Sus scrofa: one gene and its partner. The protein of the gene in region 2 interacts with the protein of the main gene of each other region in a pairwise test. Links are inferred from orthologs where the notes say so. Each region holds a gene or a part of one and is shown on either strand. Other genes may lie near its edges.

Region 1 (6,053 bases), on a different chromosome or scaffold from region 2:
CCAGGAACTTCCATATGCTGCAGGCACAGTCATAAAAAAAAGGAGGAGTGATATGAGTAATGGAGATAAGAAAATGCTCTATAGTAACTTTGGAAATCTTGATGATATAACTAACTTTCTAGAGAAAAGTAAATTTTAAGAAACAATCTTAAGAAAAGAAAGAACATTCGATTCCTGGTTCAGTTTCATTGGGAGTTTTCTCAAACTGTAAAGAAACAGATAATTTGTGTGTGGGGAGGGAAGGGGTGAATCTAGACAAAAACAATGGTAGCTAGGGGAGGGAATTGAAAGTGAAAGTCAAATACTTTTCTTAAAAAATTTTCAGAGTAAAGAGGAAAGACAAATAAACTAACACCATCTAAATAACAAAACCTGCTTAAGATGATCCACCCATGCCTCCAACATAGAGACGCAAAATTCTAGCAGTATACAAAAAAACATACAATTAAGAACAGTTTATATTGGGAATTCAAGGATGGTTCATTCTTAGGAAATCTGTTACTGCGATTCACCACTGAAAAAGCATTTGACAAATACAGTATTCATTTCTTAATTTTTAAAAACCTAAGTAAAAGAATCTTATTTTCTATCAATCTAATTCTAAGTTATCATCAAGCTTAAAGTGAAACATGATAATGATTTCCACTGAAATTAGGACTAACGGTTTTTCCTCATAACCACTATAAGTTTTTTCTATAAATAATACATATATGACAAATATAGTAACAGAGTTCTTATAAATCATAAGAAAAATATCCAAATAGAAAGATGGACTAAGAATTTATTACAAAGAAATGTAAAAAGCTAATTACAAGCTTCAAATTCAGTAATAATTAAAATAAAAAAAGCATATCAACACTGTGAAATATTTTCCAGTTATTAGATTGGCAATTTTATAAAGTATAATGCCTTTCATTGGAAAGAGTGGAGAGAGGAGGTCACATTACACACCATCAGTGAGAATATATACTGGTACATGCTTTATGAAGAGTAAGTAGGAAAGATGTATCATAATTCATAGTTGTTATAAAATGGGCATAACATTTTCACCCAGTGATTCTACTCGTGGCATTTCAAGTTACTAACAGAATAAGCATAACAAAACATCTGCACAAAGATACGCAATAACTCAATATAATATTGTTTTAATATAGAAAAATAATTCATATACCAGAATTTGGCTAAATGAGTAATGGAACAATCCTATATTCTAACATTATGTATTTGAAATCGTTTTAAATTTCTCTTTGGAATAAGGCCCAGTATATTAAGTGAAGGACGCAGGTTGTAAAATAGTATAATACAGCATGGTACAATTTTAATAAAATAAAATGTACCTGTCTAGATGCAACACATGCATGAAAATAATTTGGAAGGGCACACATACGTAAAAACTTCAACGGTGGTTAGATGTTGCGATTAAGATGGACTCTACTTTCTACATTGATAACTTCCCAATGAGTTAATATGCTACTTTTATACCAGAATAAAAATCAACAAAGCTATTAACATTTCCCCTCTTTTCCTCTAAAAATGGGGAGGACAAAATTGTAAATGATTATAGTAACTCAGAGTAATTATTAAGTAATTACTGACATGGGTAACTACATGACACAAAAATGTTACAAGTAGTTACATGCAATAAAATTTTATTTTAAAATTTGTGCCAATATAAATGGTACATAAATTTCCTCCCTTTATCTCCAAAAACTGAAAGACTAATAGTTATTATACTGTAAACTACACCTAGTATATAACACATTTGGGACTTGATGGTTGGTCAAAAGTGCTCAGCGTTGTTGTACCTTGAGGTGGTCAATCAACTGTCTGCATTTAGAAAATTCACATGAATGTCACGTGTAATACTCTAATAGACAAGGTGTTGCAAGTTCCTGGGTTTTTTTTTAAGGGGAAACGTATTCCCTGAGCCAAGAATTCCTCCGTTTCCCCAATCTGCGGCCGCCCAGCGGCAAAAGCCGCGCTGACGTCGTGCAGAAGCAATGGCGGCGAGCTAGCTTCCGCCCAAGGTCGCCGCTGCCTCACAAGGGCGTCACAGGGCCACTGCAGGCTTCGTTTGGGTGACACTTGCCGGCCTCAGTCGGCCCTAGTCCCGTCCCGCCCCGACTCCTCTCCGACACCCCCCACAGTCCTCACCAAACCCAGCCCCAACCCCACCTCCCGAGTCGGCTCCCGGCCCGTGGTCGGGGTCCGCAAGCGCGTGCACCTCAGAGGCCACGCCAGCCGGCATTCGTTCGCGCGGGCCTGACGCCATCTCGCGGACGCCGCGCCGCTCGTCTCCTCAGGATTTTCTACTCAGAGTAAGCGCGGGAAAGGGACTTCCGGGGTGGGGTGGGGGTGGGGCGGGAGCAGGGTCCCCGCCCCCCAGTCCCCTCACCGGATGGCCCGGTGCTCCCCCCAACCCGGTCGGGGCTGGCGGAGGTGGTGGGAAGGCGGCCGCTGTGCACGTGCTTGGCGGGCCGGGCACTCCCAGCCTCTCGACAGCCAGGCCTCCCGCCTCTCTGCCGCCCTCAGGGCCCTGTAGGCCGAGACCGGTATTCGGCCGCTGGACCGCGGCCTCCCTCCCCACCCACCTCAGGCTGGCGTCCCAGGAGAGCAAAGCAGAGGCGGCCCAGCTCTCACCCTCTCCTCGGGCTGCGCCCCCCAGGCCGCCCCCAGACCGCCTCGGGCCTCCTCCACTCACCATTACTGCGACAGCCAGTGTTCCCACCGAGGGACTGGAGGAGCAGAGGCTGGCTTCAGCACCGTGCTCGGGGCTGCTGTAGGCCTGCTGGTGCCTGTTGTCCGGCTTCGAGTGGGCAGAGGAAGCAGAAGCGGATAAGCAAAGCGACCCGCAGGCAGCTGGCGAGGCTGAGGGGTGCTGGCGGACTGAGGCGCGGCGAGCAGGGCGCCCGGAGGTGGCTCCTGCGCGGGGTGTGGGGGGGCTCGTCCGAGGTGCCTCAGCCAATGGGCGGCCGCGCCCCCGCCCCCCTCAGAGGGGGCTCGCGGGGCACGGCGGCGCCAGCCAGGGGTGCGCAAGGGGTGCGCGCGGGCCGACAGCATACCCCTTAGAGGCGCCACTTCCCGAAGGGCGTGCCGACGGACCCACAGATATACAGAAAGTCCCGAAAGTGCCTTAGAAGCACACCTGAAATAAGTCTGCACACTCAAATATGTGTTAAAATTAAAAACAAAATTTGAATGTGTCCAGGCTCTAGTTTCAAAATGGCGTCCCAAAGGCCCAGGAATAGCCCAATGGCGATTATCCCTATCATCAGCCCCCAAATCAATTTAAATGGCAACAGAAATAGAAAACAGAAAGACATATATGAAGAACAGGGAGGGAGACATCAAAAGTCCAGAAACTTGGATGACTTTCTTTCAAGTGTGAGGGAGATGGGGTTGGATTGGAAACATCAGGTAGGCAGGCCCGCTTGGCATTCAAGACGTTTGTTCTTTCCAGAAACAAGTTATTGAGATCAACAATTGCCAGGCACCCAAAATGTAGGAGTGAATAAAATACCCAAACGTTCCTTTGCTGGGGGTGTTCAAATTGTGAAGGGGGGGGATTTTTCTTCCTGACCTTAAAGGAAGAAGTTAGGCCTGCCTAGAGAATTCTAGAACATTCTCAAGATCAGAGAAACAGGGCCTAGAGCAAGGGCGAGCTATGGGGCAGTTTGCAGAGCAAATCACACAACTTTGGAAACCACTCCAGAACCTTATATCCACAGAGAATAACTGGCTGTAACTTATCCTCAAACTTCACTTTTGTACTGAGGATTACTTTGTGAGCTGGCAAAATGGTGGCCAACTGGTCACAAATATCTAGCATTACTGTATGATATAGTTAACTTTATTTTTAATGTGCAGCTAAACTCATAAGAAATGAAGGGGAATCCCAGGATGCCAGAGTTAAACTGAAAATCAGAGCAATAAGTTCTTGAATTAATTCTTTTCTGGCCCTGGGTATAAGGGCTGGGGTGTAGGGTAACCAGTCAACTAATTTGCCCTGGGCTTGCATGGTTTTAGCACTGAAAACCCTCACATCCTTGGGAAGCAGGTCCAATGCAAACCAGAAGACTTGGTCATCTTAGGTGTGGGCAAGGTGTTGTTAGTCTCTATAACTTGAAGCCTGAAAGTATAGGGGCAGGAAGTAAGGGTTTGAAGTAACTTAAGATAGTTGCTGGAACTGAGTACACTATGAAAAGCTATCCTCCATGAGAGACATCAGTTTAAGAAAAAGATGGGCTAGGGAAAATGTTAAACATCCAGTGGACAAGCAGGTGAGGAAGCTTGTTCCATTTCTGGGTTAAAAAAAAAAAAATTAACTCTGATAAAATTTTACAACTCTAGACCTGCATTTCACAAGTTTGGAATTTATGTTTATAGCACTTATGTAGTGTTGGGACTTCAAAACCTAGAAACTGATTCCCCTTAACCTTGGCCTTCTCCCCGAAAAAGATCCAAACAAGGTGCAACTGGAATGCCTGGCAGAAGCAAACAGAAAACCAACCTGGAGGGATGCTTCCATAAAAGGCTGAAAAGGATTCTTCTAAGAAAAGAACCCTTTAAAGTTAACCTCACAGTGAAAAATTATCAAATGCTATTTTCCCATGAATAAGAATGGCAGACAATGAAGACTAAAATGTCAGAAACTTACAAAAGAAACTTCTTTTGGCGTCTGTGTGCATGTGGATTTGGGTGTGGGTCTTTTTCTCTTATTTGGAGTCATACACACTGTGCATATTTTAAGCTGATTTTTCTACTATTTTATAACTTGTAAGCAAAGTCTAAAACCAGGAAATGTTTTCACTCTCTAATAATTCAAAGGCCTCAGGATGTTTTAACTTAGCTACCCCCTCCAATTTATAAGCTATTATTAATTGCTATTTTGGTTCTATCCTGTTTTCCTTCTGTAAATTAGATGTGTTTTTTAGATCCACCTGCATGTGTAAAAACGTTTTGCTTACCATTTCTTTGCATATCTCAGATCTTCTGGATTGTTTTCCTTGTGCCTGAAGTAAATTCTATAGAATTTCCTTTAATTAGTGTCATGTGCGGAAACTCAGGCTTTTTTCCCACTTGAAATGCTTTTATTTTGCCCTTGTTCATTGAAGATAATTCTACTGGATATATAATTCTAGGTTAGCAGTTGTCCTTTTTTTCTCTGAATATTAAACATATTCTGTTATCTTCTGGTTTCTGTTGCTACTGAGAAATCTGCTGTCAATCTAATTGCTGGTTAAGATCTGTTTTTCTTCTGTGTTCTACAATTTCATGATGATATGACAAGGTGTAGAGTTTTAAAAATTTCTCCTGCTTAGGAGTTTTTGAGCTCTCTGGATTAGTGGATTAGCTTTCAACAGTTCTAAAAAATTTCACCCATTGTCTTGCCAAAGACTAACTAGTTAATGAATTTAACCTATTTTTCACAACCCGTAAGCAATTCTTAGTTATTTTTGTTTAGCTCATGACTTTTTCAAAGGTTGGTGGTTTTTCCTTAAAACATTTTGAAATTTTCACTTAATGTAGAGAAAAAGAATTGTGATTTAAGATCAAAATTGACTATAACTATTTCAATGGGTTAAGATCAGTAGTGTCTTTCACATAAATTCAGAAATAAGTCTCTGTTGCTTCTTTATTCTGCAGAGACTGATAGAGAATGGTAGAATAAAAAAGAATATTTTAAACTCCTCTGCCAGTTCTTTTGTGCTCCTATAGCTTGTGGCTTTGGATAGAAGGCTTACAATAAGCAGTATAAACATCTCAAACTTCATTCATTTGCAAGCCAATTTCATAATTTAAATTCTGATCTCCATATTACTCTTTACCTAATTTTTTTAAAACTCGTCCTAAGCAAAATTATTTATGAAATCAGACTTATTGTGTTACTTTTTTAAAACAATGCACATTAAAATATATAACTATTAAAATTTAAAACAATATTTGTCCGTGGATCACTTCAGATCACACTGTCCCAGAACAACAGGAGAATACTGGATTAGGTGAACTGTTATCCAGTCTTAGGATATGCAAAGTTAGGTCCCAGGACCTAG
Region 2 (5,311 bases):
CCACAGCTCAAGCCAACACCAGATCCATAACCCACTGAGCGAGGCCAGAGATCAAACCCATATCCTTATGAATACTAGTCAGGATTCGTTTCTGCTGAGCCACAACGGGAACTCCAGGATAATCAAATTCTTTACCAAGTGTTTAAAAGGACTGTCCAAAACTCTTAATTCTTACGTCTCACTTAGAGAGCCTATTTTCAAGTTATGTTCTTTATGGTTTTCAAGCCTTTTTAAACTGGAGTCTTTCATACTTAAGGTAATTTCCTATTATATTTCTTAACTTGTCAATTTTTTTTTTTTTTTTAGAACAAGCTCTATATTCGGACCAATATGGTTAATTCTCTTCAAGAGAATTTTAAAGTCTCCATTAGGTCTTGGTTTTCTAATTCCAAGTCAATTATAAGTAGGTCATAAGGGTATAGATTAAAGAGAAAAATTAAGGACAGCATATGATGGTAGACCAAGTTAAGCTCATTAATATAGATAGGAAACTTAATTACACTGGTTTAACCAAATTCAAACTTCTATAAAGGAAAAAAACCAGGCTCATGCTACTGCATTAAGTAAAATATTATATAAACAGTATTCAACATTTAAAAATAGCCAGTGTGGTTTCTGAAAGACTGATCATGTTTTATTGAAATTTTCACTTTTTAAGATATCATATTGTAGGGAAACACTAAGTAACTATATGCATTTTAATAGCAAAAAGTAAAATAAACACTATTGTAAGAAATAGTTCTTGAGATGGTTTTGGCAAAATTGTCAACATATGCTACATTAACTATGCTAATTTAAAAGGACACTGTCAAAGTGATTTTTCTAAAACATGGCTACATTTAAAATTTCTATTTATTTCAGAAAACAGTTTAACAGACAAGTAAAAAGACAATAGCTCTCTAATGGGAGAAGCAGCACTATCATTCTCCTGGCAAATAACCAAAGAAACCAGCTTTGACACATGCAATATTATTTTATTCTAAAAAGGAAAAGCTTAGCCAAACACTTAAAAGTACTGCAGAAATAGCTTTACACATAAACTGGCTGGCTACTTAAATTATCTAATGCCTCAATTATCTGCAACGGTATGATTATAAAATATAAAACAAAATATACCTAAAATATCTAAGAGGCTAGACAGACAATGGAGTCACTAATCATTTAGCAACTGTGTATGTATAAGAAGTTAAATTACAAACTTTCGAATGTAAAAGAACATTCTAAATAATGGGCCACAGAAAGGATGATTTAATTACTATATTACAATGGCTAAGCTTCCTGGCAAGTTGTGTTATAAACTGGAGTATTTAACAGTGTTAAGCATTTATAATTTCATCATATGGGTAAGAGAATGACTGTGTACATGTTACTGTGTGTGTACATGGGCATATAAACATAGTTCCTGAATGCAGGGGGATGCGTCTTAACTAAGGGACAAATAGGAATTTGGAAGAACTGGGTAAGGGGGGGCTACAAATCTGTATCAGACTGTAAGTGACATTTTATTAGAAAAGGGAACATAAGATTTATCAAACCTTTTCTCTATTTTTACTGGCTCATTTAAGGGTCTAAAATGTATTGTTCAGAAACCAGTTATTTCCATCAAGCTTTTTTTCTCTTTTTTAAAGTTATAGGTCCTTTCAATTTGCTTTAGCAATTTGGGATTATTTGGGGAAAATGCTTGTCAACTGTGTGAGAAACAAAAAATGCATCTATGGGAGTGCTTGGACTGGAGATAAAAATACTAAGTTCCAAAAGGAGTGAAAAAATTCAAACAGGAAAATTAAAGGACTAAGTAGTCTCAAATCACTAGATTTTCCCTCAGAAGTTCCTGTGCCCATTCTTTACGTAATTTTGTATTAGGCAAACATGATATTTCCCTGCTGTATTTCACTGTAAAAAAAAGCATTCTGCACTAAAAGGTTATAGCTGTTCTAGGCTATCCCTTTTAGAAATATGAAATGTTTAAAAAGTTCAGAAGCTATTTTCTTAGAATACTGGCAAGCATAGTTAGTAATGACTAGCACGTGTTCTGCCATTTTCCACACCAGAGAAGAATATAATTTAATGTGGTGGGAAAATATATAAGAAGCAGATTTTAAGTCTCTGGGACACCAGGGGGAAAAAAAAAATCCCTTGAAGTCTGACTAAATGGTCCTGCCCCTCATAAAGAAAAGGCTATCAATCGTGCCAAGAAAATGAGGATAAGATGTCTTTCCCCATGTTTCCTAAATACTCAAATACTCGGGGAATATCAGAGTATGTACAAGGGTATCAATGTGGGTCTCTGAATTTGGTGCTTCCTCAGTTACAAAATCAGTCTGTGTGGGTAAATTATTTATTTTGTGAAGCTATTTAAATTTGGATTTCTTAACTACTGAACATAAAATGAGAATATGGGAAAAAAATCCTTTTCAATGAATTTTTAGTGATAAAGGCTAAGCTGTTTAAAATAAAGATAAGCCTACTGGTAGTTTCTTAGGGGCATCTGTTTAGAACATTCCATTATATTTTATAGCAAAGACCATAAATAACTATTAGCATTTAATAATAAATCATCTGATGAGCAAAGATAATTATTATTTTAAAAACACTAGAAACTTAAGATGGCAAAATACTTACTTCCTTAAGCAACATTATGTAGGGAAAAAGGAAGAGCTAATAATTAGCATAATATATGTTGTCCCAGACAAACCTTACTAAAACCAGAATTAGAGTAATATAATTCTTAAAGCCAGGGAAAATGTATTATATTTGAGTAAAGGATGGGCTGCTTGAAATGAGTTAAACACTTATAAATGTTGCAGGAGGTGGTTTTTTCTTCTATAAAATTAAACCAATCAACTGGCATCTTACTCCTGTCTTTTCTGCACTATAAGCTATTACTGTTTATCTTAATATTAAAAACAAATACATATACCTCAGGTCCAATCAACAGAGTGCACTCATTTTAAAAAGAAACTTACCTGATGAACCAAATCCACTGAGGGCTGAGCCTATAGCAGCACCCAAAGAGCTACTGCTTCCAAAGCCAAGAGATGTACTTCCAGGCTGGCCAGGTCCGTGAGAAAATAAAGAACTGCTCTGGGAGCTATTAGTCAAAGAAGTGCTCCCATAAAATGAATTAGACTGCAGATTAGTGCTTGGCTGTTGCTGCTGCTGCGGTGGTGGCTGAGTGCCAATTGGCCGGAATAGACCATTTGTGCTGCCTGTTAGACTATTTGCAGTTCCTCCAGCTGCTGCCGCCGCTGTGGTAAAATAAATTTCAGATACTTCTTAAAACTACCCAGAAAACCATTTTCTATTTTTAAAATATCTCAAACAACACCAGAAAAATATTACCCCTTAAAACATCAGTTATACTTACCAGCTTGTGCTGCTGCTGAACTAATTAAAACAGGTGTTGGAGCCATTAATCGAACTGGAGCTCCAAGGCCAGTTCTTGCTCCAGGGCCAACCACTAAGGCACCAGTCTGATCATAATAGGCAGTTGGAGCTAGTACTTGATAGCCTAGATAATATTAAAATAAATGTTCACCAATGAAAATATTTATTATAGAAAACATGCATTTCCCCCATTTGTGTTTCTATCAATCAGAAAACAGAGCTACTTATACTGTAAATATAAAAATCCTTAAATAGTTACCACATAAAGACCAAACACATCTGAGAAGGTATTACTAAATATATGAAAATGTAGGATCGTACACATAAGCATTAGTTTTATTACAGCCTTGAACACAAGGCAGATGACGATCTGCATTACTCAGATCTATAGGAGTGAAGTTTCTCTCTTAGTAGCCTTTCTCAGAAGGGATCCTCATCTGAATCACAGAACAGAAAATGTCTATTTTGAACAGAAAAGTGATGTTTTTGCCAGTTTTCTCAAGGATGTATAACAAGTACCACTCTAGATGCATGGGAGAGTAAGTTAACTAACTATACAGGTCATAGGGATTTTCTCCAAGAACTTAGGTTGAGAAAGGCTGTCTTATACAGTAACAAGGACTCCAGCTCAAAAATCCAACAACCACTTGCAAAAATGTACTGGCAACCTCGGACCCTTTTAAGTTTAAATGCTATCTTTCCCATGCAAAGGTTGTTTTGATTAAATGAAGTAATTATGCTTCACAATTTCAGTTTTATTATAATGAATATGAATTAGGAGGACCAGGCAAATGCATAGGGCAAAACCTAGGAGGGGATGTAGAGCTTTCCAGCCCTCTCCTTATGGAATTAACATGATAAATTTGAGGAGATTATTAAATATCCAACTGTAATTATCAAATAGGACATAGAAACCTAGACTTTACAAGAGGTTCAGGCTAGAATTAAAAATCGAGGAGTAGTCAACATAAGAACAGTATAAATAAAAAGGATGAAATCACCAAGAAAATAAAAAGGAGGTAGGCCCTATGGACTGAAGGTACTTCACATTAAGAGGCTGAAGAGAGAAGAAACCAGGAAGAGACAGACTGAGAGGAAACAGCCAGTGAGAAAAAAGAAAACTGGAACAATGTGGTCGCTTGGAGGCCAAAGAACAAAAAGAATGTGAGTGAAGACTAAGTAATCGACTATGCCAAAGGATGCTAAAAGCCGGTTAAGAGATGAGAACCTGACCAATGGATTTAGCAACACCGAAGCCATTCTGGTAAAGATGAAAGCCAAACTGTGGTAAGTTTAGTAAACAAGTGAAGAAACACAAACAAGTACAGAAATGCTTCTGATGAGTTTTGCTGTGATAAGGACCAGAGGGGAGCTACAGAAAGGGAGCTGAGAATAATTTTTTTCTTAATCAGAAAATGTGATTAGCAGAGCATGATACTTAAGTGTTTAAAAACTTTATTATTATGAAATAAAACACACAAGTACAAAAATCAACAGTACACAATAATGACAACACACAAGTGTAACTACCATCTAAGGTGCTCAACAGAAAACTGCCTAGCAACACCTTTCATAAATCCCTGCTCTATCACAATCTTTTCTTTCCCTCAGAGTTACACAATATTCTACTTTCCATAAATACTTCTCTCTAAACAATAATTTGGTTTTAATTATTAAAAAATTTTTATGTACAATTCACCCAAGTTCTATTACAGACCTTTCAGTTTCCATTTTCAATACTGTACAGAATCTCAATGGACAAACACAATGAATTTATCCATTCTATATTTACCCTGTTTCCAGTTTGGGGCCACTGACAACAATAATGCCATAAACATTCCTGTACACATATTCTGGTATTATGTGTACATGTTTCTCCAATCTAAGGTATATATCTAGTAGTTGACATCCTGAACCACAGGGT

The links.
Region 1: the proteins of PUM2 (region 2) and DAZL interact in a two-hybrid assay, tested with the Homo sapiens proteins (2 studies listed by BioGRID and IntAct). The link is inferred for Sus scrofa from reciprocal best matches to the Homo sapiens genes PUM2 and DAZL.

What each region holds. Positions count from the first base shown.
Region 1 is NC_010455.5:3,780,028-3,786,080, forward strand, and holds the start of DAZL (deleted in azoospermia-like), read right to left. Parts: upstream 3,822-6,053; 5' UTR 2,705-3,821; coding exon 2,702-2,704; intron 1-2,701. UniProt on the Homo sapiens protein: RNA-binding protein, which is essential for gametogenesis in both males and females. Plays a central role during spermatogenesis.
Region 2 is NC_010445.4:117,923,271-117,928,581, reverse strand, and holds part of PUM2 (pumilio homolog 2), read right to left. Parts: intron 3,512-5,311; coding exon 3,368-3,511; intron 3,249-3,367; coding exon 2,967-3,248; intron 1-2,966. UniProt on the Homo sapiens protein: Sequence-specific RNA-binding protein that acts as a post-transcriptional repressor by binding the 3'-UTR of mRNA targets.